2 linked regions of the Rattus norvegicus genome follow. The protein of the gene in region 2 interacts with the protein of the main gene of each other region in a biochemical or structural test. Links are inferred from orthologs where the notes say so. Each region holds a gene or a part of one and is shown on either strand. Other genes may lie near its edges.

Region 1 (15,830 bases), on a different chromosome or scaffold from region 2:
ACAGCACATGCTAAGAGACTCACGGCTGTTTCTAGTGACAGTATTTTTGACGGTCAAGGCTGAAACAGTCTCTTAGGAGACTCCCTGCAGCTGTGTATCTGTGCAGTGAAGGCCCCTCAGCTCGAAAGCTCAGCTCTCCTCTCACTTGATTTAGTCGGCCTCACAAAGCACGCTGCCGCTTTCATTTCAGAAGGGGTTGGTCCTGTTTTCTCAGCTTTGGAGTTAAGCCTGGGGATCAGGCATCAGATGAGGGCAGCCTTGCAGGCCATTAAGAGCTAGTGTGCTAGAATTACACGTGTTCCTGAGTACCCACCAGGCATGGGGCTAAACTCTGAATCATCCCCCTGCCTCCAGCTGTTTTAGGAAAAGCAACAGTGTCTAGTTGTTATTGCGTGTGTATGTATGTCTGTGCACACATGCGTGCTGGTGGAGGTCGGAAGGGATGGTCGGGTCCTCTGGTTGTGAGCCACCCGATGGGTGCTGGGAACTGTGTAGACAGTCGGTGCTCATAAGTGCTGCATCTCTCCAGCCCCTGTGGAATTTCCTAAAAGCATTCTATTATAGCATAACATAAGCGATTGGCACCTAAAATGTGTTGTTTTGGAAACCCTGTCCTTGACATTTGAGCTGAATGTTGTAAGCCGTTCTTAGATTTAGTGGTTTCAGATGACCATAGCTCACTCCGGTCGTTCTTCTGTAATGTGTTACTGTAAAAGCCATATATCAGTAAGCGTGGGGTGGAGTAGGGCCCAGGCAGTCCAGACACAAATGGGCACAGCCCGAGGGTCTTCTCAGTAACTGCAGCTGTGCGCTACCAGACGAGGCTTTTAGACTGAAGGATTTCTGATGACTTCTAGGAAATTTTGGAAATTATGTTGTATGTAAATTTTTTATCTTATAGTTGACCAAATGCCAGATCAGTTCCCTTTCATTGAGAAATGTAGAACAAGTTTGTTTTAAGGGATTTACAAGGGAGTTTTGGTTGGTAGAATTGAGAGGAAAAACAAAACCATAGCTAGTTTCCAAAACTCACTGAGTCAGGACACCTGAGAGAGAGAAAAGGAGTTGTAATAAGGGCCTTTGTTGGCATACCTCTTCCATAGGCAAGTAAATACACACATGTACATGCACACGCACACACTCAAGCACACACTCACATATACATACATACACTCACATATTCATACACACACACACACATACTCAGGCATATATATATACACACATATACTCAACACACACTCAGACACACATATACACACATACTCAACACACACATATACATACATACTCACACACATGTACATACACACACATATACACACTTATTCACACACATGTACATATACAGGCATACTCAACACACATATACATACACACATGTACATATACACACATACTCAACACACACATATACATACACACATATACACACATACTCAAACACACACTCGTATATACATACACACACATTCAAACACACACATACACAAATGCTTAACATTCCTTTACTGTGTGTGTGTTCCAAAATGGCGTTAGTGTGGGGGCAAGAGGATAGTCTGCAGGAGCAAGTTTCCAACTTCCACCAAGTAGGTCCCAGGGACCCTAAACTCGGGTTGTCATGCTTGGTGGCAAGCATCTTTACCTACTGTGCCTTCTCACTGATTCTAGGACATGTTAGAACATTCACACATGAGCTAGTAATGTCACAAAGAAAGCACTCTCCGGGGGAAACATTGGCTTAGATTACCAAGTAAAGGTTAGCTAACTGTGTGTAAGAACTCCCGTGTACTGTAGCAGAGGTCCTAAGTGACACACTCACAGGTGTCACACAGCTGAATTCTCAGGCCTAACAGCTGTCTCTCATCACCAGGTGGATAGACGCATTTCAGGAGGGCACAGTATTATAGCCACACTGACTGCACTGCCTCTGAGGTTCCAACAAGGTGGAGAATGGCATAAAAGCTACTCAAAAGCCGTGTGAAAACGAACACTGCCAAGACAAGTCCACCCACCGTCGTTGTGAGATAGAGTGTTTTGTTAGGTATATACAGTTCCTAAAAATGTCTTTCATGTTTGTTATTTATTAAAATGTTGATGTTTACTCGTTGGTTAGAGCTGTTTCCAAGACTCACACTGAATTCTGAAGTACTGTTTAGAGACCGGGAACTTACCGTAATACTGTATCCTGCATACTGTCGCCGACGTGCCGTCCACACTGTTGTCTCTGCCTTACACCATGACGCTTTCACTGTTGGTAAATCTTTACGAGTAAAGCACAGGGCTTAAGACACAAGTGTCCATGCAATGCTTGGTGTAGAAATTACAGTTTTAAAATCTCTGATGAAATGCGTATTGTTGAGTTGCTAAGCCTAGGTGGGATTTTTTTTATATTGCAGTAGTGAGGCACAGAGGCAGCTTCTACCTCAGTAACTGTGAAATGAAATCCCAGCAGGGTCAGTACTGACAACTTTGTCCACAGCCCCCCAAACTCCCACACCCCATAAGGGCTCGCCAATGGCCAGGCTGGCCTCGAACTAACTGTGTAGCTTAGGCAAAGCTTGAGCCGCACACAGCCTTCCTGCCTCAGCCTCTAAGTAACTGGAGTCACAGTCCTGCCCCTCCATGCCCAGCCTTCATCGAAAACTGCCAGTTCAGTGCCAATGGGAGTGACAGACACTCACGTTGGCCTGGAACTTGTGTAACCCATGCCAGCCTGTGACTCACGCTTCTCAACTGCTAGAATTACATGTGTGTGCCACTAAGCTCAGTGATTAATGTTTTAAGACACAGACTATGGCAGGTAACATGTTACCTAATACCCTCTATTATTTTTAAGAGTTTTGATGCCAAGTCAGTGGTGGTATTTATATCTAAAAGGATGTCACATTTTCTGTAACATGTACTTTACAAGTGATCTAAAACAACTATTTTTAAAGGAAATTTTATGCTACTTTGATTTGTTCCCCTTAACATTTTAAATGTCATCTTTTTTTCTTTTTCTTCTTCCTATTCCTCCTCCTCCTTCTCTTCCTCCTCCTCTTCTTCCTTCCCTCCCTCCCACCCTTCTCCCTCCCTCTGTCTTGAGACACAGTCCTTCAGTGCAGCCCAGGCCGGCCTGATGCTCACCGCCCTGCCTCACATCCTATTTAGATGTGTGCTACCACACGGACCTTATCAGTCAGCGTCCCTCGATAGGAAAGGTCTGCATTCCTAATTCTGGCATACTTACTGTTTAACACGCACACCCTCTTGCATGTGTTGATAAGCAGCAGGAGAAGGAAGTTATGCTTAAAATTGTGTCAGTGTTTAAATATTTTGTTGACTGAGTTTAAACTGTCAGCTACAAGGCAGGGTTATACAGAAAATATCCTATTAAAGGCTATAAGAATTTTCTGCCTCATCATGGTTCTTAGTGCGATGTCAGTAGTAGAGAATTATAATCTGAATACTATTTTGTTTTTATCCTGAACACCATCACAAGGCCTTTTGGATGCCATTCGCTGCAGATTAAATAGACCTAGATGTAGCAGGTCCAGGTTTTCTTGGATGTCGCTGGCTACAGCACAGTTTGAAGCCCCGTACAGTTTCACAGAATGCTACATGCTACCTTCCTGGCCACAGGAAGCAAATTAGTTCTTCGGAACATATTTTAATTGGATCCCACATGAGCATCCGCGTAACGTTTGTAATGCACTCTTTTTGGAGACAGGACTCCTTTTACTTTATATTTCTATCTTTTGTGTTGAATTCTCAACCTCGTTAAAATGTTCTTTCTTGTAAGCCTCAAAAAAGTCTAAGAAACATTAACTAGGTCTTCTGTTTTCTAACACACAACAGAATCAAGAAAGTATTCAAAATCTGTACACACATACAGAGAGAGAGAGAGAGAGAGAGAGAGAGAGAGAGAGAGGTGTAGAAATCCGTGTGTGATTATATTTGCTTAGTCTTATGAAGAACTTTGCAAAAGGCAGCATATGAGCTCTCAGATCGTGACCCCTCCCGTAAGACATTCTAAATGTAAGATTGTGTTCCCTGTCCCCTGATCCCTTCATAAACCACTAAGGACTGCCAACCATGTATTTAACATGGCTCATTCAATGGCATTTGATAAGAACATATTTATAATTTGTTGTAAAACTACTTTAAAAAAATATCACTGAACCCAGGGACTCAATGCAGATACTCTACCCCTGAGCTTGCCCCATTGCTAACATTTATGGACAAATGGTGCCGGGGCAGTCTAGATGTGGAGAACATCTCTCTCCTGGATCCCGGAATGCTGCTCATTACACATGCGTGTGCTGCCACCAGACCCCGGCTCCGGTGTCTCCTACCCTAAGCCAGAAAGTAACGGAGACAAGATGGCAGGCTGAGCTGGGAGAGGGGACATTCTCAGTGTCCCCAACAGTATTCCTCCTCTGTCTGCAGCAGCTAAAATAGAGGATGGCACCCCACCGCGCCCCCCAATTCCTAAGAGAAGGAAAAGGAACATTGGTCACATTATCCTGTTTCTGAACCTCTTTCTGTTTTCTGATGTAACCAGTCTCGGTCTGTTTTCCCTGACGGCCCTTGTTTTTTCCCCAGTAAGAAGCATGACTCTGAGTACAGACTGATGTTTTTTTAAACGCTGTCCGACATCCCGCTTTGATTTATAACAATGGAATGGCACTGAAGGAAACAACTCAGAAGTATGTTTTTGTCTGCCGGATACGTAGAGGCTATGTAGGAATGGAGGAGCCTCCTATGTGAGAACATAGTGTCATCACCATGTGCGGTTATGCCTTAAATGCCCTTCCGCTGGGCTCATTATAGTCAAAATGCTGGAATTTCCATAAGCAAATCCTACCTCAGTGTACTCCTGGATCCTTAAGGATAGACACCATATATAATCTGTGCGTTTCTAAGGGATCTTCGCAGCTTTAGTTGAATACATTGAAGGCAGAATTCCCAAGGTGTTTTGCCTTGAGTAAGAATCTCACTGTTTTTCCCAAGACAGCTCCTGCTGCCTCCCCCTCAGGGTGTCACCCTGCCTAACTCAGTCAGCTACCACTGACGTAGTCTCCAAAGCCCTTCCAACCCAGGTCATAGGCCCACGTTCCTCACCGTCCTGCAAGCCCACAGTCATGGCAAGACTAGGGCTCAGCTTTCTCCCTGCCTGTTTCCTTCAGGACTCCACCTGGACTCTGGAACCTGACTGAGTCTCTCTTGTCCTTACCGTCTTCATTCTTCTGCCCCTTATGGGTGCCACGCCTTTCCCTCTGAGCCACAGTGGCACACACTTGCTACCATGGATGAGGCCCCGGATTCAAGCCCTTATCCAGGAAAGCAACTAGCTTTTTTTTTTCTTCTTGGTTTTAACCCCCTTTTGTGTAGTCTCCTTTAGACATATCAAAGCAATCTGCGTACAGCAGAATTCTGATTTAGTTGCTATTCCTGTGAGCTTCAGGGCATTCTGAGTGGTTTGGCTGGCTTCAGCCTTTTTCTGTTCCTACCATTCCCATTGTCCTCATATCAGTCAGCCCAGCTCTGCCCATTGTTCTGTGACACTTCCCAGTGATAGGGTCCTGTTCTCCTCTCTGTTAGACTATCCGAGCTCTCTTCCTTGGCTTCCTGTGATCACTAAACAGTGTTGTCCTTCTTACCAAATTCTGTCCTTGAAAACATTTTACCTTGTTCACTGGAGGTCGCCCACATCCAACAACTGTCTTCCGTGCAGTGAATAAATGTTTGCCTGCTGAGTTAAATATCTTCAATGGGTCCCAAAAAAGTATCTTCGGTACCCATGCTCTGGAGTGTACGTCACTTTTAATTTTACTTTCTAAATGCAAATCCATAGTGTTTTCTCTTACAGGAAAAGTCAGTTACTACTGGGAAGGAATTTTAAGAAAGGAAACAGCAAAGACAGCAGTGGTTCTGATGGGAATTTGCCTGCTAGGAAAATAAGTTTAAAGGTGGTGGGAGCTTTTAAAAGACTAAATATCAAAGTATTTTGTTTTTCTCTTTCATGGAGTTATTTGCTGCATGTAAGAACCAATTTCAGAAAAGAAATTAATCACTTTTAATTCTCAAAACACTTTTTTTAAACATAAAGTGATCATGGTTTGTATCTTACTGTTCATAAGAAATTTTATAAATAAAATAGCATTGTAAATAATGTTAATATGTATTATAATTCATACAAAATAAATGCACTGTGATATCTACTGCTGGTGTGGAGTTCGTTATTAGACGTTTGGGGTTGTGCTCATGTGTTGATGCCGTGCAGTCCAGGGTGGCCCTCAGCGTTCAGACTCTCCACCTCATCCTCCTTAGCAACTGTGATTATGGGCATGTGACCCCCAGACCCCCTCTGACAAAGTCTTCCAAGCCTTACCTTTAAGATGAACCTCACTGGCCCCTTATTCTAGAGTGTGACCAAGAGAGACACGTCACCTGGAGCAATCCTCTAAAAGCCGCTTCTGTTTCCAGGACTGATTTATTCATATGGTTGCCTTTGAGACAGGCTCGCCAAATATTCATAACAATCTCCCTGCCTGGGCCTACCGAGTACTAGTATTTCAAGCATCAACCACTGCGCCCGATTTTAAGACGTCAGCATCTTGTGACTTAAGTTCATGAACTGGAGGTGAGTGGTCACCCTGGTAACCACAGCGTGCCTTTGGGCATGTGTATTGAGTCGAGAATAAGGAAAACGTAGTGAGTTCCCCTGTTCCCTCCAACCTGGCTTTCATCGTGTTCACCTCTGGGCCCAGCTTGAGGTTATTGGAAAGGCTGCGTTACGGGCAAACCAAGCAGTACTAAAAGGCAGAGGCAGACTTTCAGAGAACTAAGTGTGAAACAGTTCTAACTGCTAGGGGAGGCTGTTGCAAGTCCTCCTTCTAGGTCTAAATACTCAACTCCAAAGAGAAATGGCAATGTTTTCTTAGAGATGCAGCCCAGGCTAGCTTCAAACTGACCGAGCTCCTGTTCCTCCTGCTTTACTTCCCAAGTGCTAAGGTTATAGGCATGAGGCAATGGGACCTTAAGGGACAACTATTCTACCTAGCACAAAAAAAAAAGTTTCCCCACCCCAACCCCTAACTTCAGTTTCTGCCTTGGACCGGGCTGCTTTTCTACAGTGTTTAATCTCGATGCAAAGAAAAGTTCCAGATCACCTCAAAGTCTGAACCACACAGTACCTAACATGTGACCAGAGTTTCCAGCCACAGGTGACCACTGTCAGAATGTGATGTTCTGGTAGTGACCTTTCGTTTTGCAGATCTTTATTGACCAGCGGGAACTGTTAACTATCTGGGGACACATCGTCCAGCAAAATGGACAAAAGGAACATAAGGTCACGGTAGTGGTTGTGGCCTTGCTCTGAAAGCAGCCAGGTAAAATTTGACTCCATTTTGCCTGAGCCTGTTCTTGTATTGCTGGGAAGTTCTATGTGATTGGGGTCTACACAGACTGTGTTATAGCTCTGCTCTGGCACGGGAAAGGTTCTTCAAATATGGTACAGCCTGCCAGCTGTGCGCCAAGGAACACTACAAAGTCACATCCACACCACACAACAAACCTCACTCAAGATTTACTGGGAAGGAAAAACCAAGGACGATGTCTGCCTCTTTGAGACACTTCAGGGAACTAAGCAGAAAATGGGCTTTATATAGGGTTTCTTGGGGTGTGGGGCTTTTCAGGGTGGCCTGCAGTTGGAGAATTATGTGGCCTGATGTTGGCAAAAGCTTGAGGATTGGTGCGATCCAATCCTCTGTGATCAGACTCTGGGACAAGGTCTTACACTTGGGTTAAGTCAGGGTCAGGGTGTTCTTTCCTGGGTCCTGTTACCCCTCTGCAGACTCTTTAGCTCTGGTGACCTAATCTAAGAGAGTGCCCATAATGAAGTCCAGACCAATTAGGTTGTTTATTATTTCTCAAATCAAAACTTCCTTTAAGGGGCAGGAGAGATGGCTCAGCTGTTAAAAGCGCATTGGCTGCTCTTGTAGAGGTTAAATTCCAAGCACCCATGTGGCCACTAAAAAACCATCTGTGACTTCAGATCCAGAAGATCTGATGGCCTCCACCTGAACCAGGCGCACCTGCAGTGTACCAGGCATATATGCATGTAAAACACCCATATAAAGGGATTTTTAAAAAATCTTATAGCACCAGAGAGGGAGGCAGGAGAATCACGAGTTAAAAGACCAGTCTGGGTTTCAACAGGCCCTGTTCCAAAAGACTTGTCTTTTCTTCAGGCCTTCCTTCCTTCCTTTTTTTTTTCTTTCAGTAGTTCTACTTTGGGGCTGGAGAGATGGCTCAGTGGTTAAGAGCACTGACTGCTCTTCCAGAGGTCCTGAGTTCAAATTCCAGCACCCACATGGTGGCTCACAACCATCTTAATGAGATCTGATGCCCTCTTCTGGTAGGTCTGAAGACAGCTACAGTGTATTATAAGTAAACACATCTTTTTTAAAAAAGAGAAAAAAGTTTTACTTTTTTTAGTATAGGGTGTTCGACCTGCACATGTTTGTGCACCAGAAGAGGGCACCAAATCCAGTAGAACTGAAGTTTCAGAAGACCATGTGGGTACTGGGAATCAAACCGTGTTCTCTGGAGGAGCCACAAGTATTCTTAACCATTGAGCCATCTCACTAGCCCTCGGGTGTCTTTGACTTCTAATTACGTGTGTTTGGGTATGTGCACTTGGGATCACGAGCCCGCAGAGGCCCTGGCACCAGAGTTGCAGGTTTTGGAAGAACTAGACGCTCTTCACACAAGACATCGGGTGGACACGCAGCGGCGGCGGCGGCGGCGGTCTCCCTCCACACCTGCAGGGGGCAATCGACTAACAGAACCGCCGCTGGACTCCCGGGCCCTCGGCTTCGCCCAGGGAACGTCACCACGGCCGGCCGCTTCTCCACCGCGCTAATGCGCAGGCGCCAAGAGCACCGCGCACCGCCAAGCCGAGGGTGGGGTCACGAACTCTGACCCCCACCCCCAAATACACAAACCCAGAAAGCTCTCCTGTCCCCTTGGCCTCGGGTCCCCTCGCCTCTGCTCTCTCCAGCCCAGCGGCCGCCACGGCGGGAGGGGTAAGTCGGGTGCTGGGCGGCCCAACCGCCAAGCGTCGTGGCCCGAGCGCCCGTGTCCCCAAGTGTCCCAGCTCCCGGTTACCCGAGTGCCGGGTGGTAGCGGACAGCTCAATGCCGCGGGAGGCCGGGCGGGGACGGTGACCTTTCACCCACAGGGAACGCTTCCGTATCGGCGCCGCTTCCCCCGCCCCGGGGCTGCGCGCGTGGTAGGTGCAGGGGAGGGAGCTGCGGGGCGCGGGACCCGAGGGGCCATGTACCCTTGGGTTGCGGGATGACACCTCCGCCCGCTTAGGATCCTGCTTGCCCGAAGAGGACCAGCATCTGCTGCGGCTGTATCTTTGAGGGAAGGTGGCCTAGGGCTATCTCATGCACTGGGCACATCAAAGCTTCCACTAGCTCTTTTGTTAGGAGCCCTGCCACCAGTTTCTTCAGATAATGTCTCCCGATGTGCAGATATTACCAGGTTGTCCCCTACCCCTGAGTTAAGCAGGGTCAGTCAGCCTAAGCTGGGAAGGACAAGCAATTTAGACTTGAAGTTAAATCCGTTTGGGGCTTTTCTCACCGGCTTAAAGTTGTTAGTATGTCTTAGACTTCGAGGGAGGGGTTTTTCTTTGTTTTTAAAAGTGTCTGTGTGTTTACCCGGTTGGGAAATTGTCTTTAAACTTTATGTATCCACTTTAGTAAATTTGGAAAGAGATTATTGATCTGTTCTAATCACACAGCAAAGATGAAAAGGAAAATTGTTCAGGGAGGGTGTCCTGGGAGTTGTAGTTTGGAGGGCAGAAATTCAAGTACATTAGAGGAGATTCGAGGAAGGTGAGAAAAGTGGGAGTTTATTGTGGACCATTTGATATTGAGAAAGAACAGAGGCTGGATGACCTGTAGGAAGGAGCCAGGCTGGTGACGCAAACCCTATAATCCCAGTACTCAGGAGGCTAAAGCAGCAAAGGTCACCTGGAGTTCTTGGCGAGACTGGCTTGGAAACCATGTATCCAAACCCCAGAAGACGTATGGAAGATAAAGGAAAGGTACTATGTCCTTTGTATCAATATGTCCAGTAACCTTTTGGTGTGCATCTTGAATCTTTGGATACAATGTAATTTTTCTACTTGCGTAGTTCCAGAGACCTATAGTCAAAGGGTGGCAGTGACCAGAATTCCTGTTTCCAGGTTAGAGCTTCTGTACTGTTCCCTTGTAGCCTCCTAACTCTGCTTTCAAAAGCTGTCTTAATGTTGCTTCCACTGATTAAAGAAGATACTTGATACTTGCATCCATCACAAACAAAACATATGGCGACAATAAATGTAACCGATTTCATTATTCTGTGTAACGCTTTCAGTTGAAAGGTTTTAAAGGGGGCTGGAGAGATGGCTCAGTAGTTCTGACTGCTCTTCCAGTGGTCCTGAGTTCAAATCCCAGCAACCACATGGTGGCTCACAACCATCTTAATGAGATCTGATGCCCTCTTCTGGTGTGTCTGCAGATAGCTACAGTGTACTTATATATAATAAATAATCTTTAAAAAGGAAAGAAAAGGGTCTTGAAGGGGATTGATTCAAGGCAACAAAGCCTGAATATCTACTGTGGGTGTGATGAAGTGTGTAATTCAAACATATAGCACTCACTATAAGATCGTGTGTGTGTGTGTGTGTGTGTGTGTGTGTGTGTGTGTACACACCCACAAACCTTTAAAAACCATCTCTAGAAAAATGGGCCTCTGTTGGAAAGTTTTAAGAATTAATAGAAACCATGGAAGTCAGTCCTTAAATCCCAGCTAACTCTTGCTGCATACAGTATACAGCGGATCATTCAGAAATGGTGGGTAGAATGGAATTTGAGCTGGGTCTCAGAGGTCAGGTAGAACAAGTGTGGTAGAAAAGATGTGTGCTGCAGAAGCTGGTTTCTGTTTAGTGTGATAAACTGCTAAAAGTTCGCCTCTGGGATTCCTAAGTAGGGAATTCCTTGGACTGACTGCAGGCTTTGTAAACCTTGATATTTAATGGATAGTATTTGGTGTAAAGGAACATGAACTTGTGACTTTCTGGGTGGGTGTTTTGCCCGCATGTATATCTGTCTACCACAAGAGTACTGTGCCGTCGGGGGCCAGAGGAGGTTTTGAGATCCTCTGTAACTGGAGTTACATGGTATAGAGAGCCACCATATGGGTAGAGGAACAGAATTTAGGCTCTTAACCCTTGAGCCATCTTTTCTGCCTAAGGAAGTCATTTTCAATTATAAAGTCATCTCTACTGTAAACACCTCCAAAGAACCGGTTTTCACCCTGTTTTTCCACGGTAGCTATTATTTTAGTAAAACTTTCAATTTTACCTTTTAACATAAATATATTACAGTTACTTCCTTGAAGCAATATGTTTAAATCATTGAATACTTCAAAAAATACCTGACAAAAAGCAATTTTGAGAGCCATAAGTCATTATGGGAAAAAAAAACCTAATCAAATCAGATTTCTGTCCCACCAAGATACAACGTCATCCTATAATTTCAGTAGCCTTCAAACACACTGCAATAAACCAAGAGAGTATTTTGCATGTTTCTTAAAACTCTCCAACATGAGGGGAGTCAAAGGTCGAACAGTTGTTAGCATCACTCAAAAGCACTTATTGTCTTAGCCACCTCTGCACGCTGAGGGGCTCCGTGAGCTGAGTCTGTTTGCCAGGGTAGGAAAACCGAGGGCAGAGCACAGCTTCCGTCCTGCCAAGCACAACTCTCTTGAGACTTTCTGGCCACAGGTGCCTCCCGACGGATCATTCATTGAGTAAAGGGACTTTTGTTTCTACAGAACTTTAAATTCTGTCACAAGTCAACATCCTCTCATATAATTTCCCCCGTCAACGTCTACGCAGAAACTTAATGAGACCTTTTAGCTGTGAACCTGCATTTGTTTAAAAGAAAAACATTGATGTTAAGATTAATACCTTCCCAGATTATGTGCCCCGCCCCCCAGGGCAACAAAGCAGATTTTCAAATACGCCACCTGTACTGCGACAGAATGCTAGTTGGGGCATCTTGCTGAATTACTTCCCTTAAACCTGCCAATAAAGGGATAGAAGTGGCCACATCAATTCTGGAACTTCTGTCAGAAGGAGCGCCCTTCAATGAGGAAATCTTAGGAAATCCATCACTGGCCTGGTCGTTGTAACAGACCACACACCCCCTGTACGTGTACACACACACACAGGTTTTGCAGTTAAATGGGAATCTTTGTAGGATACAAATGAACGTTTTCCGCTGATGGCAAGAAGTGTCCGGAGCTTTCTCTCCCCTTCCGTTGGACAGTTTTAGGAATATTTAAGAAATACTTTTTTGGGGGTTGGGGATTTAGCTCAGTGGTTAGAGCGCTGGCCTAGGAAGCGCAAGGCCCTGGGTTCGGTCCCCAGCTCCAAAAAAAGAACCAAAAAAAAAAAAAAAAAAAGAAATACTTTTTTGGTTCATTGCAGTGTGCTGCCTGCTTATTACGGTGTCAACTCAGCCCCTTTCATGTTCTCTAATAGCCAAAGCCTCAGTAAATATCAAGCCAAGGGGCTTTTTTATTTATTTATTTTCACATCATCATGATTATTAGAAATAAATCTATATTGCAAAGACGATTTGACTTAATTTTTTTTCTCATCAGTTTGGTTGTTCTGTAACCCGCCTGGAAAGAGTTAGACAATTATCCCTTGTTGGAAGATACTGGATCACACCATGAACCCTGAGATTGTGTTATTTACTGGAAAAACCTGTTTTTAGTTGAGTGTGGCTCAGCCCTAGCATGCATACCTTTAATTCAAGAGCATTCTGCTGGAATATTATAAACGGGGCTAAATAACTCCAACCATAGGTCGAGAGGCAGAGCAAGCAATCAGTTGACAGGAAGTGGACATAGGATCACTAAGGAAAAAATTTAGTAAGAGTCAGGAGGACGGATAAAGAGACGCACAGGAAGTAGAAGGGAGGGACATTCAGTTGAAGGAGGTTTTTTGAGACAGCTTGGGAGAGGGGCATTGCTGTTGGGATATCAGCCGAGGTCAGCTGGCTGCTTTCTCTGCCTCTGATCCAACGGGCTTTCAACCAAGCATCTGGCTCCCGAGCCTTCATTGGTAAAATCAAATGATTGAGATTTTGTTAAAAAAAACAGTGATCCATAACTGAGAAACAGTGTTGTCCTCGAAACAAGTGAATATTGCTTATAATAAACGCTAGCTTTAGTTTATGAAATTACACTTGTGCTTAACTTTTTAAAATGCTGTTTATAGCTGGGCAGTGGTGGTGACGCCTTTAATCCCAGCATTTGGGAGTCAGAGGCAGGGGGATCTCTGAGTGTGTAGCCAGCCTGGTCTACAAAGCAAGTTCCTGGATGGTCAGGATTACACAGAGAAACCCTGTCTCTAAAAATCAAAATAAATAATTTAAAACACACACACACACACACACACAGAGAGAGAGAGAGAGAGAGAGAGAGAGAGAGAGAGAGAGAGAGAGAGAGAGCAGTGATGGTTGAGGAATGTTGCTCAAGGGACCGGTCACCAAGCACAAGGCCTGTGCAGGCTCAAAACAGATTGGTCCCAGCACTGAGCAGGGAGCGCTCACAGATTCCCACCCCTGAACAAGATGTTATCTGTGGTAAATTCCCGTCTCCAGTGGAGTCTCACCTCCAGGCTGGTGCCACGCCCAACACAACATGAACTCAGTGACATTTTTCTGTCGCCTGGGCACTTTCTGTCTTCCTGCCCTTTCGCTACTTATTTTTATTTCTGTTTTTGCGGGTTTTTTGGGGGGTGGGAGGGTCTTTTGTGTGTATGTATGTTTCTTGTTTTCTTCTTTGTTTTAAAGAAAGAGAAGAAAGAGTATAAAATTAGGTGGGTAGGGAAGTGGAGAGGCATTGGGAGAGGGAAATTATGAACAAAATATATTGTACGAGTATGATGGATGCTCCTTTAATCCCAGCACACAGGGTGGAGGCAGAGGTAGGTAGAGTTCTCTGAGGTCAAAGCCAGCCTGACCTACAAAGGGAATTCCAGAACAGTCATGGCTACACAGAGAAACCATGTCTTGAAAAACCTATACATGCATACTTAATTACAATAAAAAAATTAGTCATATGTGTATATGTTGAGGGGAATACACTTAAGTGCAGGTGTCTGACCAGAAGGTGTCAGATCTCTGGAGTTACAGAAGGTTTTGAGCTACCTGATATGAGTGCTGGGAGCTGAACCCTAGTCTTCTGCAAAAACAGTACATGTTGGTAACTGCTGAACCATCTCTCCAGAAAATTATGCAATAATTAATACAATCCAGTAATGTATTCATCCTATTTTCCTATTGCCGTGACAACCATGGCCAAGGCAATTTATAACAGTATGTAATCTGGGGGTTCACAGTTTCAGGGAGCTAACGTCTATGACCATCCGATACTGGGGTAGTGACTGGAAGTTTACATGTTAAGACAGTGTTGTGGCTATTCCTGGTTGTCAGCTTGACTACATCTGGAATGAACTACAATCTGGAATTGATCCTGATCTTGAGGCTGGGAGACACAGTTTCTGACCTGGATCTTGGCATGGAGATCTTGAGGCAAAGTGGCCATGAATCCCTGGAGACTAAGGCAAGGAGATCTGAGTTCAAGGTCACCTGGGACAGAGCAAGTCCCAGATCCAGGCGTAGTGGTACACACCTTTAGTCTGGGCCACACCTTCTGCTGGAGACCTACGTAAGGACACTGGAAGAAGGAAGATTCTCTCTGCTTTGCCCGCTTGCCTTGTGGGACTGAGCAACTGCTGGATCCTCGGACTTCCATTCACATCTGCTGCTGAGCATAGTTGGGGAATTGGACTACAAATTCCCTTACTGTGTAGAGCCCACCCATAAGTTCTCTGACTAGAGAGCCCTGACTAAGACAGACAGCAACCAGAAGGCAGAGAGAGAGGGAGAGTGCGCACACAAGACCTAACTGGAAATTGCATGAGCTTTTGAAACCTCAAAACCTTCCCCAGAGACACACCTCCTCCAACAAGATCACATCTGCTAATCTTTCCAAACAACTCCACCAACTGGGGACCAAGTATTCAAACATAGGAGCCTATAGGGGCCATTCTCCAAACTACCTCAGTACTAATTTGATAATTAGATGCTATCGAAAGATGGTAGGAAAATATTTGAAAATTTTTTTATAATTACAAATAATTACATTATGGTTTTATGTAATTATACCATTATGTTTCTGTAAAAACAGAAACATTTATATGGGGGGAAGGAAATTCATGGCACTCAGTAGTCTAAGCTGACATGTGTCAGGCAGAGTCCATGGTGTCCTGTGTTATGACAGTATACACAGTCATGTCAAAATGCACACGTTCTGTGTTTTACAAAAAGATTTCAGTGAGAGCTGGTAAGATGGCTCAGTGGTTAAGAGCTGCCTGCCCTTCCAAAGTCCTGAGTTCAATTCCCAGCAACCACATGGTGGCTCACAACCATCTGTAATGAGATCTGATGCCCTCTTCTGGCCTGAGGATGTATATGCAACAGAAGACTCATATATTAAATAAAATTTAAAAAAGAAAAATAAAATCTCAGTGGCATGGTTCCATACAACGTGGACGGATGGACCTGTGCTGTCAGTGACACCTTGGATTTACTGGGTATTTGATTCCGAATTGAATTTTGGTCATTACACATTTAAAAGTCCTTTTACTGTTGCCAGGTATGTGCTGACTCCTGTGTTGGCCACTGCATAATTTTGAATGGGGGGTAGAGACC
Region 2 (15,830 bases):
ACTCAACCTGGGAGCTAAGCAAACAGTTTTTTGGGGTGTACAAGAAATGTGAGGGAGCTAGCTGAAGGAGGAGGCTGGTTCATCACAGGAGGTGTCCGAGTGTGTCACATTTTCTCATGGTGTCCAATGACATTCTTTATGACTACTTTTTTTTGGAGACAGGTTTCTCTGTGTATCCTTGGCTGTCCTGGAACTCACTCTGTAAACCAGGATGGCCTCAAACTTGCCTCTGTTTCCCAAGTGCTGGGATTAAAGCCATGCGCCACCACTGCCTGGCTGCACACTTTAAAGACTGCATTCCTGTTTATGTGGAACACTAGCAATGAGACACCTAACTGAAAGCCGTCTGCTCACTGTCACCGCAGAAAGCTGTATGTCAGCTATATCAATTACCTGTTACACACTGCACAATTCCATTTATGTAACACTTGAGAAAAGACAAAATATAAGGACCAGATCAATAGTTGCTTGGGGCTAAGGTGAAGAGAAGGGGTGACTATATTTGTAGAGTAAAGGAAATATTCGGTACCCTCGTACTGTATCAAAACTCACAGAAACATGACACCTCGGATCTGGGAAGACAGCTTGGTCAGTTAAAGTGCTTGTGTTACAAGCAGGAGGACCTGAGTCAGTCCCAAAGCCCATGTAAAAAGGTCAAGTTTGGGGGCTGGGGATTTAGCTCAGTGGTAGAGCGCTTACCTAGGAAGCGCAAGGCCCTGGGTTCGGTCCCCAGCTCCAAAAAAAAAAGGTCAAGTTTGGTGGTTTATGCTTCTAATCCCAGCTGTGGAGAGGCAGTTTTAAGGGGGTGGCTGTCTAGTTCCAGGCCATTGAGAGACCTTGTTTAAAAAAATCAAGGTGGCAGCCAGCCGGTGGTGGCTCATGCCTTTAATCCCCGCATTCGATAAGACAGAGGCAGGTAGATCTCTGAGTTCGAGACTGGCCTTGTCTACAGAAAGAGTTCCAGGGCAGTGAGAACACAGAGAAACCCTGTCTAAGAAACAAAAACAAAACAAAAAAACTAAAAAATCAAAGTGAACAGGTGTAGTAGAACATGCCTTTAATCCCAACACTCTGGAGGCAGGCAGATCTCTGTAGGTTCAAGGCCAGCCAGCCTAGTCTACAAAGTGAGTCCCAGAACAGCTGATCTACAGAGATACTGTCAAAACAACAAAAACACAAACAGGGTGGATAGTACTTGAGAAGTGACACCAAACAGCTGCGGAGGCATACACACACCTTTATATATGAGTCCTTATGCACAAGCATGAGCAACAGGCGCACACACACACACACACACACACACACACACACACACACACAGAAACAGGATACCTTAAAAAGCTGAATTAGACTAAAAAATGGTTCAGCAATTAAAGCATCTCCCAGAAGACCCAAATTGTGTTCTCAGTACTCATATCAGACAGCTTATAACCACTTGTATGTAACTCCAGTTCCAAGGGATCCAAAATCCTTTTCTGGCCTTCATGAGTACCCTCATACATATGATATGTCATCACTCACATAGATATATACAAACTCATACATAAAAACAAATCCTCTTTTTAAAGTAAAATTACTGTACCTAGTTTTTAAAAATATTTTAAATAGGAACTGGGGAGATGACTTGTGGTTAACAACACTTGTTGCTTTTAAGAAGACCTGAGTTCAATTCCCAGCACCCACCTGTTGGCTCACAACCATCTGTAAACCCAGTTCCTAAAGATCTAACTAGCAACATGGTATACATACATGCAGGAGGGCAAAGCAGTCATATATAAAATAAAGCTTAAAGAGATTAATACTTTAACTATATCAAGCTTAAATTTTTAAAGACAATAGTACAGTATGCACATGACCAAACCCAAGGTACCACGATAAAAAAAAATAAATCCCTAGTTTTAGGTTTCAAAAAAGCCAGTACAGCCTACACCATCGAACACGTAAGTAAATATGATTGGGTAGTGTATTAGTAGCACAGTGGTAGAGTGCTTGCCTAGCATGCACAAAGCCTTTGGTTCAATTCCCAGGACTGCAAAAACAAGCAAACAAAAGTATAGGGAATTGTATGGTTTTTTTCAAAGGATTTTAAAAGAATTTGTGTTTGATAAGTAGAAAACTAAGCAAATTGAGAAAATAAGAATGTAATTATAAATTCTACTTAAAGTTATACAGAAAAATAGGTTAAATAATAGTACTATTTGGCAGCTAAATTATAATAATGTAAGCATAGATGGGCAGTGGATGTATATGCTCTTAATCACAGACCTTGGAAGGCAGAGGCTCGCAGATCTCTGTAAGTTCAAGGCCAGCCTGGACTACAGAGTGAGTTCTAATACAGCTGGGCTAAACAGAAACCCTGTCTCACAAAACCCAGAAAAAAAATTATTTAGTTAACTAATTAAATTAATTAATCATATAAGCACAGAAGACTGATTAATTTTAAAACATGAAGGCTGGGTGTGGTGGCAGACATCTTTAATCCTAGCATTCAGGACCAGAGGCAGGAAAATCTCTGTGAGTTTATAGCCAGACTGTCTCTAGAGCGTTCCAAAGCCAGCTAAGAATACACAGGGAGACCCTGTCTCAAAAATAAAATAAAGGGGTTGGGGATTTAGCTCAGTGGTTAGAGCGCTTGCCTAGGAGGCGCAAGGCCCTGGGTTCGGTCCCCAGCTCCGAAAAAAAAAAAAAAAAGAACCAAAAATAAATAAATAAATAAATAAATAAATAAATAAATAAATAAATAAAATAAATAAATAAAATAAAAATAAAAAAATAAAATGTTGAGGCTGGATGGAGTGGCTCACACCTATAACCATAGCATTCTGAAGTAGAGAAAGGAAGAGCAGGAGTTTAAGGTCATCCTTGGCTACACAACCTAGGTTCCAGAAGCCCTGCCTCTAAATAAATAAACAAATAAACAAACATAAAAATAAGGGGGTATCTGCCTAGGAAGCGCAAGGCCCTGGGTTCGATCCCCAGCTCCGAAAAAAAGAACCAAAAAAAAAAAAAAAAAAATAAGGGGGTATCAAGATGTCCTAGCAGATGGGAAAACTCACCACAAACACCGACGACCTGGATTTAATCTGTGAAACCCATAGGGGGACCTATTCCCACAGGCTGTCCCTCTGACCTCCAGGCATGTACCACCCCTCCAAAAATAAGCAAATAAATAAATGAGAAAATAAACTACCAAGTAAGTAAATACATTAATAATATAAACTGTGATATTACGCACTGTGAACTGGGACAGAAGGGGAGCATACTGGGATGGTATAGGAAAATGAATTGCTCAAACCACCACACCGCTTATTAGACAACACCTAAAATTGATAGAAGTAGCAACAGTAAGAGATGATACAGTAGAGAAGCATGAGTCAGAAGGCAGACAACCTACATTCACCCATGTAGTCGGGTGAGGTTGGGCAGTGAGCTCTGCCTCAGAATCCTTATCTGTCCAAAGGAGACTGTAGTAAACCTTGCTTGATAAGGGTTGTTGATGCTTAGAAGATGGCTGCAAAGCATTCAAAACACTACCTAGAGCATAGTAGGTATTATCCAAATACTACGGATTAGTAGGAGTTGCAACAATAAAGTAGTTTTATTATTTTGAGATGTAAAGATAAACACCATGGCAGGGCAGGGTGGCATGTGCCTTTAATCCTACCTAGCACACGGAAGTCAGGGGCCGATGAATCTCTTAAGTTTGAGGCCAGCCTGGTCTACAGAGCTAATTCCAGGACAGCCATGGCTACATAGCAAAGTCTCGGAAAATAAACAGACAAATAAATAAATGAAATAAATAAAATAAACACCAGAGAAATAGGTAAAAGTGGGAAGAGAGATTTATGGATGGAATAGGTCTGAAATTATTTTCCCCCAAATTATAATTTGACTATGAATATTGATTATTTATTTTTAAATTACAATTTACCTGGGCTGGTCTGGAACCTAACTTTGTAGACCAGACTAGCTTCAAATTATGGCAAGCCTCCTGCCCCAGGCTTCTCAGTTGGGATCAATATAGCCATCATATCAGGAAGCAACTTGAAATTAATTTTTAAAAAAAGGAAGAAAAAAAAAATTCGCTTCTCCTCTGAAACACAGAACCCATAAGCACAGCTATAGTTTACGCTGCTGGAATGACAGGGATCTCGAAGCCCAGAGGCAGTGTTCCCTCACTTCCCAAGAACAGTTACAGGGCTCCAGCTGCGGCCTGCGGGCTGACTCTGCATTCTCAGACCTGGAAACTAAACTGGGAGAAAAAGCCTAAGTGAATTTTTAAAAAAAGAAGAGGAAGAGGAGGAAAGAAGAAAGAGGGAGAGGAGGAGGAAGAAGAGGAGGAGAAGGAGGAGGTTGAAGAAGAGGAGGGGTCGGCGGTGGCGCTGAACACCTTTGATCCAAGCAAGCCCTCAGGAGACAGAGGCAGATGGAGCTCTGTGAATTAGAGGCCAACCCTGTCTACAGAGTGAGTTCCAGGACAGCTAGGGCTACAGAGAAACCCTGTCTCAAAAAAACAAGACAAAGGGAAGAAGAAGAAGAAAGAAAAGGAAACTGTCCAAGACTGTATGTAACTCAACACCAAATGAGTGGCACACCATGCACAGGGCAGAGCTCTATGGGCCAAGGCTGCCAAGAAAGCTTTATGCCGAGCCAAGCAGTGACACCTACCTGGGATCCCAGTACTGAGAAGCTGAGGTGGGAAAACCACCAGTTCACTGATGACACAGACTACATAAAAGGATTCTGTCTTGAAAAACAAAACAAGACAAGGAAACAAAGAGGGAGGGGACATCTGGAGAGATGACTCGGCTGATAAGGTGCTTGTTAACTCTTCTGGAGGATCTGCACTCAGTGTTAGCACCCACATTAGGAGACACAAAACCACCTGTAACTCCACTGCTGGGGAATCCAATGACCTCTTCAGACCCCTATAGTGTCAGCACATGTGGTACACACACACACACACACAGAGTAAAATTGTTTTAAGGAAAAGAAAAGGGAAATGAGAAACCGAATGGAAGTGGTGTGTGGAAGCTGAGAAGGCTTTAAACAGGCTATGTGGAGAGCCTAGGGCACCCCCACTCTGTGGGAGTGAGGTCTGAGTATCAGGAGGAAAGTGTTCAGGGCAGCTTAAGGAGCTGGCCTTTATCCTACAGCCAGGACTACTCCATTAGTCGCTCACTCAGTAAAACAGATTAGGAAATCCATTTACAAACCTAGCTCTGTTCTAATCTACTTTCAGGATCACAAGTTCAAGGCTAGCCTGCGGCCATGTGGCATGACTTTATCTTAAAACAAACAAGAAACCTAGGTTCCGGAACTGAGTCCTACTGCATCCACTCATCAGTTGTGACTCAAGCTAAACTACTAAATTTCCCCATACCTCCATTTACTTAGGTGTAACCCCAGGAAAAAGGCTATTATTGTCCAGTGTTGCTATGAAAATTGACTACATGTATTTGCAACCCTCAGCATCATGCGTAATAGGGTCCCTACCCTCAACAAACAGGATTGTAGGAAACAACGAAGAGGACCAACAACCTCATTTCTTCAAAAAGTAAATTCAAAGGTGAGAGAAAAATGACACATTAAGTCTCAGGAGACCATATGAATGTGTAAACCTTGTTTGGATCCTAATTTAAATAAGATATATCATGCACACATACATATACTCTCTCTCTCTCTCTCTCTCTCTCTCTCTCTCTCTCTCTCACACACACACACACACACAGAGAGAGAGAGAGAGAGAGAGAGAGAGAGAGAAACACAGAGATAGAAAAGAAGAGAAATGGACATATTTAAATACCAATTGCATTTTTCATTAAAGAAAAATGATTAACTTTTTAGGTCTGATGCTGATATTTTTAAGAGTATCACTTAGAGATACATAATAAAATATTTATGGATTAGAGTATGTGGATCTTGGATTTGTTTTAAAATCATGTGACATGGGGTGATACAAATAACTTAAGACTGCCCAGATATGGAAGAATGTGCCAGAATCGCGGCACTTGGGAGGCTAAGACAGGATGATTCCAAGTTCAAGGCCAGAATTTACTACCTAATGAGGCCCGGTCTCACCAGAAATAAAGAAAAAAAGGCTTAGCATTTATGCTGGGTAAGGAATGTACTCAGATTTACTACTCTTCTGCTTTCAAAAATGTTTGATTTTCCCTAATGATAAACTTAAACAGTGTCCACTATGCTGGGGCATGCCTTTAGTCATGGAATTGAAGGGGCAGGTGGATCTCTGTTAAGTTTGAAGCCAGCCTGGTCTACATAGGGAGTTTCAGACCAGCCAGGGCTGGAAAGTGAGGTCCCTGTCTCATAGGTAAATAAATAAATAAGAAAATAAAACCAACAGTATTGAGTTTTCCATAGCTATTATGCTTATTAGTGTTTTACTTTTTTAAACTAAATAAATGTATTTATTTATGTATATAAGTGCTCTATTTGCATGTCTGACTGCATGCCAAAAGAGGGCATCAGATCTCATTACAGATGGTTGTGAGTCACCATGTGAGTGCTAGGAATTGAACTCAGGTCCTCTGGAAAAACAGCCAGTGCTTTTAACCACTGAGACATCTGTCTAAGCCAATACCTTTATTATTTTTCACTAATGTACCCTGGAGTGTTAGCAAGGCTTGTGGCTCATTTTTGTTAGCCATTCTCCAGCATCCCAACCCTGAGTCTTCTGCCTACAATAAATACAAGCTCCGTGTTAACCTGGTCTGATTAGGGGTGATGTAGCTTATAAGCAGAAAGTCGAGTATCATGTACAAAGGACAGGATTCAATTCTTAGTATCATTAAACAAAAATATTCAAAAAGAATCATGTCAAATCATTCCTATAGGAACAAAACCACTGATTTAATGCATAGCTGTTTACTTCAAATACAAACAGAACAAAAACAGGGTCTCACTAAATAATGTAGGCTGGCCCTGAACTAATAACTTTCTTGCTTCTACCTAAGTGCCAGGATTACAGATGGGAGGCGCCTCAGGCCTTAAGCTTTAAAAAGGCCCCCACCCATCTCCTCAGGCTCTCACTCTCCTGTTTATTTCTGGATGGTGTTTCTGGTACTCCTCAGAGAAGTCATGTTCCACCCTAGCACAGCCCTTTAGCACACACTGTCCCTCCTACTCAAGTTCCTCCCTCTCCTTCCAGCCATCTTTCAGACCTCAACTCAATCTCTACCACTGCACTTAAGACCAGCCCTGCCCCAAGGCTGGATAACTCTTCCAAGTCCACACGCAGTTGTGGACTTCTTCACAGGGCTTTGCAAGGTAGAATATTAAAACTTTGTCATTTTCTCTCACCATCGTATCCCTCATACGTAGCCTGACTGGGATAGAACAAATGACTAGCAGGCATTCACTGAACAAACGAATGAATGAATGAATTCACCGACGCCTCCATGAAGGGCCCAGCCTCCCAGTGATTGACAACCCCATCCTGCCCTCACCAGTCGTCACCCACGTTGAAGGCATTAAGGCTCTTGGTGAAACCCTGCATATTGGTGGGGCTGACTCTCTGCAGGAAGTCAATGTAGTCCTCAGAATGGAAGCGGCACATGTCATGCTGGGAGGCCTGGTAAGGCTTGAAGACCTGGGGGAGACAAATAGGAAGCTGTTACCTGAGAACTGCCTAGGTGCTAGCTCAGCCCCAGAAGGGTGGGTGATGAACTAGGTAAGACCTTACTTAATTATAATCCCACCTAAATGCTGAAGGGCATTCCCAATACCACAACAGGTGACAACTGCCATGGAAACAAGTGGAAACCAAAAAAGGAAAGGGGTTGGTTTCTGAATTCTCAGAAATTTTCTGCTCAGTCTCAGAAAACACACAGACACACACACACAGACACACACACACACACACACACACACACACACACGGCTTTTCTTTATCATCAGTCTCTCTCCCTCATTTTTTACCCTGTATCTATAAATTCTTTTCTAATTAAAATTTTTCCTATATTAAAGTCAGGGTGTCAGTTCTCTGCTTTGGTCATTGGAGGTTCAGAGTTCAGACTTGGGCCATCATCCGCCTCAGAGGCAGGCACCTTCACCCACTGAACCATCACTGCAACCCGACTGATAGCTATAACCTGTTGATCTGTGTGAGCTGAGATGTTATCTCCTGAGAACAAAAGTCCGTTTCACTGCTCCTTTAACACATGGTCTTGTTACTGGCTCCACACAATGCCAGGAAGGGAAAAAAAAAAAAGATTCAGTTTGGAAGTTTGGACAAAGAAACCTGGCAACAGGCTAGGCAATGCTATGCCAGTCACCAGGCTGAAACCACTCACAGGGATCCCAGCCCTGGACACTGTCCAAAGCAATCTTCCTGCCCCCCTATTCCTTCTTCTACAGCAACTCGATGAGTGAAAAAAAAGGCTACCTGCTAGGCAAGCTACTTTTATCAAGATCCCTGAAGAGCACTTCATCTCCCTCTTCCCTTCAGCCCAGTCAGTCTCATCTACCTTCTTGGCCTTGGCTCCCAGCCTACTTGCTCTGGTCCTAGTTCCTGCTCTTCCAGGCCTGGTTCCTTCTGCACTTATCTCTTCTCCTAAACTCTGATTCTGCTCTGTTCTCTGGGTTTTTCACTGTGGGGTAAAATATGTGAGCTATATGACAACCTAACTGAAACCCGATGTCCTAACCAAAGATTTATTATCCTTGGGGAAGGGGGGCAAGATGGAGGTTCAAACAATACTTTGAAAATTGGGCAAAAAAAAACAAACGCTTTTTTTTTCTCTTCTAGAAAACGCATAAAAGACCACACAGACTTATACTAACATCACCTCAGTCTTTCCCACTCCCAAACATTCTGCCTGTACCTCAACACACTGATTATATGTTGACTACCTTCCTGGTGCACCAGGGTCAGGCTTGCTATTTTCCCATTTCACAGTTCTAAGCTGCGGAGAAACAGTACCTGCATAACTGAATTGAACCGTAAAGACAGATATAATCTACGTTAAAAAGCAAAGCCCCAAGATATCTCTACACACATACACCACAAAGGGTGCAGAGTTGTTCTAGCTCCTAGCAGGTAAATGGGCAGAGGAGAAGGAGCAGGGATTATGGGCAAAATAGACTCCCACCTCTCACCACTGTCTACCTTACAATGCAGACTAGAAATGTACTGCAGTAACAGAGCACTCACCTAGCATATGTAAAGCTCTGGGTTTGACCCAACAACACATACATAAAATGAAGTGGTGATGGAACATACCTGTCTTTAAAATGTCCCCTAATGCTAGGCCAAAGACTGGTCTGCCCTCAAGTTAAAAGAGAATCCCACCTAAGGTCAAAAACGTATCTCCTTTTAAGTCTGGGGTGTCACTACCACCACCACCACTGCCCTGCACATAGGGAATGTTTCCGGTGCCTTCTCCCCTTCTCCCCCTCCTCTAGACGTAGGTTGCACCTGGTAAGTCCAGCCCACCTAGTCTAAGGCCGCTGCTCGCTCCCAGGCCCAAACCCCTACAGAAGTGTCAAGACTCACGATCATCTTCTTATAGAGACCATAATGCAGGACTAGGCTATGAGTCAATGCCAGGCGATGGGGTTTCATCGGGTGTCCAGCTCCTGAGGGTGGGAAGAAAAGAGTTGGTCGGTCCCTACCCCTAGAGTTGCAGCCCTTGCCGCAAAACCTCTCCTCCCGCACAATCCTGAGCCCTACCGTAGTGGAAGTTGCCCACATCGGGGTCGTAGAAATACGCCACGGTCTTGGCCATGGTGCTGGGGGACCAGGCCCCGACTCAGCCGCCCGCCCGCCGCCGGACGCCAGCCCCACCCCCGCCGTGCGTGCTGCGCAAGCACGCCGCCTACCTCTGCAGAACTGGAGCCCTCGGCCCCGCCTCCCAAGGCTAGGCTTTGGCCACGCCCCCTTGGGGAGTTCCGCCCCTCATTATGCTGCCCTGGTCCGGTTTCCGAGGCTTGAGACTTGGAACCTGGACGGGGACCCGTGGCATCATTCAGAGAATAAAATAGCCGCTTCTTTCGGGGCGAGGGTCATATCCTCAGTAAACCGAGCCATTCCGTCCAGCTGTTACCCTCAAACGGGTCTTGGGGTCGTGATTTCTCTCTAGGAACCTCGGAAGATCTGGCAACACTGCCCTTCTCTGGTGCAGAAAGCCAAATTTCCCCCAGTGAACTAGGAAGATTGCTGGCTTTCCCAGTCGTCTGGGTAATCTGAGGGCAGGACCTGTACTAGACGTGAGGGCTAGACTGGTGGCCAAAGCCTCTCCTGACCTCCCGACCCTCGCTCGACTCGCGCTGCACATTCCCTCCGGGGGGGGGGAGGAAGGGCGGTGCAGTCACGCGCACATCTCACTTGCGTTCACACACGCGTAAGGCTCACATACTCCGCCCCGCACACCTGCGCTCCGCCCCTTGGTCCCAGGCCCGCAACGCGAGTAGGCATTTGGGAACCCAGGACGGTTTCGGAGGTGCCCCCATCCCCGCCCCCATCCCCTCCATTTCCCTGGCCGGAGTGGTCCGGAGCCTGTCGCGGTTCCCAACTGGCCCACATCATTCCCTCCCCCCGTCTGCCGCGGCACCGGTATCCGCAGCCACCAGCCCGGAACCGGTGAGGCGGCAAAGGGGGGAGGGGGAAGAAGCAAGGGATGAGCTCCGGGAGGGCGTCGGGGGCCCTGAGCCGGACGAGGACGCCCCTGGAGCCGGGACCCGAGCCGGAGCCGGAGCCGGAGACAGAACCAAACCACCGGTACCGGGTGAGCCAGGTGGTCGGGGTGGGAGGAACCGAAAAAGAAGGGATCCCGGAATGCAAGTGTTGGGGGGGGGGGGTGCATGATGCCTGGCTCAGGCCAGTGTAGAGGAGGTGTAGACACTGACTCAAGCGAGATGTCTGGGCTCGCTGCCTAAGAATTTCGCCCCATCTCGTGCTGCAGTGTCCTTGGGAGGGACGGAGGCGTGGAATGAGCTGTAAAAGATAGCGGTCTAGATATCAGAGAAGTGGGACCGGTCGTGGCAGAGGGCCTGCATAGCTGCCATCTGGCCTCCAACATTTGGAGATCTTGGCCGACCAGCACCCTTAGTCCGGACAGCTCCTTGGTTGGGTAGGGGGTGGGGCGGGCCTCCTATTTCGAATCCTAAGACGCCTTCCTACTCTGCCCGGTCCCCAGCTGCAGCCCACTAAACCCAGGAGGCGCCCTGGCCCGCGCTCGCCCCCCAGGGCCTCATGTCGGAACCACAGCCTGGCCTGGAGCCGCCCCAACATGGGCTGTACATGCTCTTCCTGCTTGTGCTGGTCTTCTTCCTCATGGGCCTTGTAGGCTTCATGATCTGCCACGTGCTCAAGAAGAAAGGCTACCGCTGTCGCACATCTAGGGGCTCAGAGCCTGATGATGCCCAGCTCCAGCCCCGTGAGTGAGGAGCCTAGAGCCCTGATTAAGTCTCCCTTACCCTTCTCCCCAAACTTTTTTCTGCCTCCCTGGCCACAGACCCAGCCCAAATCCTGATGAAGTCCAAAAGATAGCTTATGATGCATTTTTGAGTCTGCATGTAGAGTGGCTCCACCCTGAATCAGAGGCTAGAGAAAGGGGTCCACTCATGGTAGCACCAGAAACCCATTTCTTCTCCTACTTTTTCTGGCCTGATGCATTAAGGCACATAGCTATGTAAAGGGATATGTCTTGAGCTATATCGTCCATGAGGCCATCAGGTCATGATACCCCAAAGCTGACTCATTTCCCGCTTCCTTGCCAACTTCTTTCATCCTTCAGCTGAAGACGATGACGTGAATGAGGACACAGTAGAGCGGATTGTTCGCTGCATCATCCAAAATGAAGGTGGGTATAGGCCAACAGCTTACTCCTTCCTAAACTGACTTTCTCTTGCCCTGACCTCTACCTCCATTGACTCCCTCTTCTCCCTCTCCATCAGCCAATGCTGAGGCCTTGAAGGAGATGCTAGGGGACAGTGAAGGAGAAGGGACGGTACAGCTCTCCAGGTGAGCTGGAGACAAGGGCCAGCATGACTTAGCTTACCTTGGAGTGCTGTCTCCTCTAATACAGTCTTTCCAAGCACCATGGGAAGTTTGGTAGTGGTAGTGGGGTAAGGTGAACAAGGCTAACTGACCTATGAAAGAAGTTCTGTAGGAATCTTTTATCCTTCAGTGTCTCCCATCTAGACACCATCCAGCCTAGCATACACCTCTGGTGTCACTTCCTTTGGTTAAGCATTGGTCTCTTTAGTAAACAGGAAGAACACATGACTATTTGGGACTTAACAGTGAATTTATTAAAGACAAAGGGATGTTGGAACCTGGGGAAGGTGGGGTTTGTGGAGGTTTAAAGAGCATATTGAAAGAACAGGAGGAACCAGGAAGGAAATTGAAAATATTGTTTCTGCTCCCTTCCCTCCTGTGGACCAGTGTGGATGCCACCTCCAGCCTGCAGGATGGAGCCCCTTCTCATCATCACACAGTACACCTTGGCTCTGCAGCTCCTTGCATCCACTGCAGCCGCAGCAAGAGGCCCCCACTTGTCCGCCAGGGTCGCTCTAAGGAAGGAAAAGGCCGCCCAAGACCTGGAGAGACCACTGTATTCTCAGTGGGCAGGTGGGGATATAGTGGTCCAAGAAAAGAGGTTAAATTGGGGCCCCGATAATCCTGTCCCCCAAGGTGGGGCCCAGCTCTTTCTTTGAACAACTGGGCGACTACAGCAAGGGTCAGGCTGCACAGTGTCCCACAGTCTCAGAAGGCTTCCCTACCCCAGGTCACAGAAACTGCCATCAAACCCAGGGAGGGAGGTTTAGGGAGCCTCTGAGCTGCAGGCCTGAGTTGCAATGTTCTCTTCCCACCCAGATTCCGAGTGACACACATTGAGAAGCGCTATGGCCTTCATGAACACCGTGATGGTTCCCCTACAGACAGAAGCTGGGGCTCTGGTGGAGGACAGGAACCAGGGGTTAGTCAGGTGGCTGGAGGGCAGCCTAGGACAGGGACAGCTGCCATTGAGAGGCTGCTCCCTGAGCCACCACCCTCCCAGGCCGCAGCCACCCACCCAGTGCAGAATGGAAGACTCAAGGATGCCAGCCTAGTCCCTTGTACACTTGAGGGGACCCCTGGTACCTCTGCAGAACTGAACGTGGGCACTAGAGGGACAGGCCCAAGCCCAGGGCTGCCTAGTCAAGAAGCAAATGGACAGCCAACCAAACTGGACACCTCAGGTCAGCAGGTATGAAGACATGGTCAGGGCTGCGCTGGGCAGTGGTGGACACATCTTACGGTTCCTACTCTGGGCAACATGGATATGATCCACCTCCTGTTCCCACTGAATACCTCCCCTTCTCTCAGGACTCTCTACCACCAGAAGCAGGGGGTATGTGAGGCGAGTCTCCCTGAGCTCGAGATCAGGTAATCTCACCCTCCCACCCTGTGTCTAAACTACTCGAGTCCACCAACTCCCTGAACCCTGGGGGTGAACTATATGTTTAGTGTGTGGGGAGTGGGCACAGATGTCCTCCAGGAGTTAAATAAGTGGCTGGAGCACAGAACTTGACTAGGAAGCAACACTCTTTTCCTTTCTTTCTTCCAAGCCTCAGTCTTCACTGTGCTGATGGATTACCAGCAGGCATTGCCAGGGGACAGCCAGCCAGGAAGACTCTCCCCTCCGCTGGCCAGCTCTGCCGCTCAGCTGAGGGACCAGCTCTACTTCATCTGGAGATGGTCCTGACTGAGGGACCTCAGGAGGAGCCCCTCGCACTTCCTGGCCCCTCATCTTTTCCCTTTCCCCACCTGCCAACAGGTTGCCTGGCCTGCCTTCCCCAAAACCTCGCTCCACATGCTAGAGCGTGGCAGCTGGGACCAGGCCCTACCCTCGGTGGGCCCCTAAAGCAATAGCACCTTAGGCTCCCTGCCGTCTTGGCACAAGAGGCCCAAGCCCTGTCTTGGACTTCATACCCTTTATTCACTGTCAATAAATCCGCTCAGACCATTACAGTTGCTTTGCATCCTGGCTCAGCTCCTTCTGACTTCCAAAGTCCTCTCCTGGCCCCAGGCCTACTGACCCTGACATTCAGGGTGGGGTTGACCACAGAGGCCGGGTGAAGACACAGATGAGCCAGAGCCATGCAAGGCTTTGGGAGATGGGTTCCAGCCCCGAAGATTTTGTGGTGTTTTACCACCTTAGATATGGGGTGATAGCACAAAGTCAAAGGGGTACTTCCAGAAATGGCAGGAGAACAATACGGGGAGGGTGTGGGTTCAAATCCCAGAAATGGGAACAGGGTAAATTTCTACCCCCGGAGGTGAGAATGGACATCGGGGAAGACTGCAGCTTTTGCTTATGTCGCTCCAGACCATTGAGGGGGTGGCTTCTGTCAGCATGGAGTCAGGGGCAGCAGCATCACCGAAGGGCAGTGACTCCTGGCCTTCAAGTGAGAGGATCGGGATGACCAGGATCCGGGGCTTTGGCTGGTGGGGGAGGTGGTGGACGCATCTGCAGGGGACATGCATAATCAGTGCTCCGGAATCTGTCTTAGGAATAGCCCTGTCCATTACTTCAGCCCAGCAAACAAAATAAGGCCATAGGAATGACCCAAGTCAGGGCACCTTACCGGCCTGAGTCGAGGCACCATCATGTCTAGGGGTCCAGGGCAGTCTATGACTTTGTCTAGAAATAGAAACCAAAAGTCAATTCTCAAGCTTTGATGGGCTCCATACTGCATCTCCAGCACTTAGGGTAGTGATACTTTATAAATACTTGTTGACTTAGCCAAAAGAAAAAAAAATCACCAGCCTGAGCTATAAAATCCATTAGTCCATCCATTCTCAACAAATACTTAATGCACAATTGCCTTGTACAAAGTACCCAAGAAACGGGGTGGAGTGCAAATTCTCTATTGAGAATCCCGTAATATCACACACAGACACACAGAGACAGAGAGACAGGGAGACAGAGGCAGAGAGACGGAGACAGAGAGGGAATGCCCAAGTACTAAATTATTCAAGTGCAAAAGGAATGCTAGAAGAGATGGTGGTGGCCCTGGACTCAGGGAGGGTGACTGAGAAGGTGGGCATACTAGAATATCTTAGAAAGGCTGAGTATTTGATGGTGGGAAATAGGGACTGGGTCTGTGGACATAAGTTAGTGGTAGATATGTGTGCCTAGCATGAACACGATCCTAGTTTGATCCCCAGCACCCACAAGAAAATAACCCAATAGATAAGCATCGTAATAGATAAGAGGAAACAGCCCCAAGATGAGTACTGTATTTCAGTACTGAAGGACACTAAGAGGAAAACACACTTTGGGAGGCTATAAGAATGCAGAGAGAAAAGGTAGCAAACTTCAAAAACACTAATGATCTAAAACAGCCATGTTTACTGTATGCTAGCACAGTGCTGTACACTTTTTTTTTTCTTTTTTTTTTTTTTTGGAGCTGGGGACCGAACCCAGGGCCTTGTGCTTCCTAGGCAAGCACTCTACCACTGAGCTAAATCCCCAACCCCAGTGCTGTACACTCTTAACAGATATCTTGGATAACTTTCTTCCTTCTCTACCACGCCTACCAGTGTTTTACCAGCATGTATGTCTACATGCTGCATGCATGCCTGGTGCCCACTATAGTCAGGAGAGGGAGTCAGATCTCGTGGGATTAGAGTTACTGAGGACTGTGAGCTGCCATGTGGGTGCCAGGAATCAAACACAGGTCCTCTGCAAGAGCAGCAAGTGCTCTTAACCACTGAGCCATCACCCTAGGCCCTAATAATAAATAAAGCAATGCCTTTCCCTTCACTTTATAAAGAATGTAAACCAAGCTAGGCTGGTGCCTCATACTTCTAATGCCAACAT

The links.
Region 1: the proteins of Hdac3 (region 2) and Nr2c1 form a complex in vitro, tested with the Homo sapiens proteins (4 studies listed by BioGRID). The link is inferred for Rattus norvegicus from reciprocal best matches to the Homo sapiens genes HDAC3 and NR2C1.

The regions. Positions count from the first base shown.
Region 1 is NC_086025.1:30,593,693-30,609,522, forward strand, and holds the start of Nr2c1 (nuclear receptor subfamily 2 group C member 1), read left to right. Parts: upstream 1-8,914; 5' UTR 8,915-9,074; intron 9,075-9,101; exon of another isoform or gene 9,102-9,537; intron 9,538-9,998; exon of another isoform or gene 9,999-10,102; intron 10,103-15,830. Other genes in the region: Fgd6 (FYVE, RhoGEF and PH domain-containing protein 6), read left to right, coding at 1,874-1,910. UniProt on the Homo sapiens protein: Orphan nuclear receptor. Binds the IR7 element in the promoter of its own gene in an autoregulatory negative feedback mechanism. Primarily repressor of a broad range of genes.
Region 2 is NC_086036.1:30,031,216-30,047,045, forward strand, and holds the start of Hdac3 (histone deacetylase 3), read right to left. Parts: upstream 9,811-15,830; 5' UTR 9,747-9,810; coding exon 9,692-9,746; intron 9,598-9,691; coding exon 9,515-9,597; intron 7,610-9,514; coding exon 7,467-7,609; intron 1-7,466. Other genes in the region: Rell2 (RELT-like protein 2), read left to right, coding at 11,213-11,396, 11,757-11,822, 11,917-11,983, 12,407-12,592, 12,839-13,211, 13,331-13,363; Fchsd1 (F-BAR and double SH3 domains protein 1), read right to left, coding at 14,409-14,474, 14,593-14,648. UniProt on the Homo sapiens protein: Histone deacetylase that catalyzes the deacetylation of lysine residues on the N-terminal part of the core histones (H2A, H2B, H3 and H4), and some other non-histone substrates.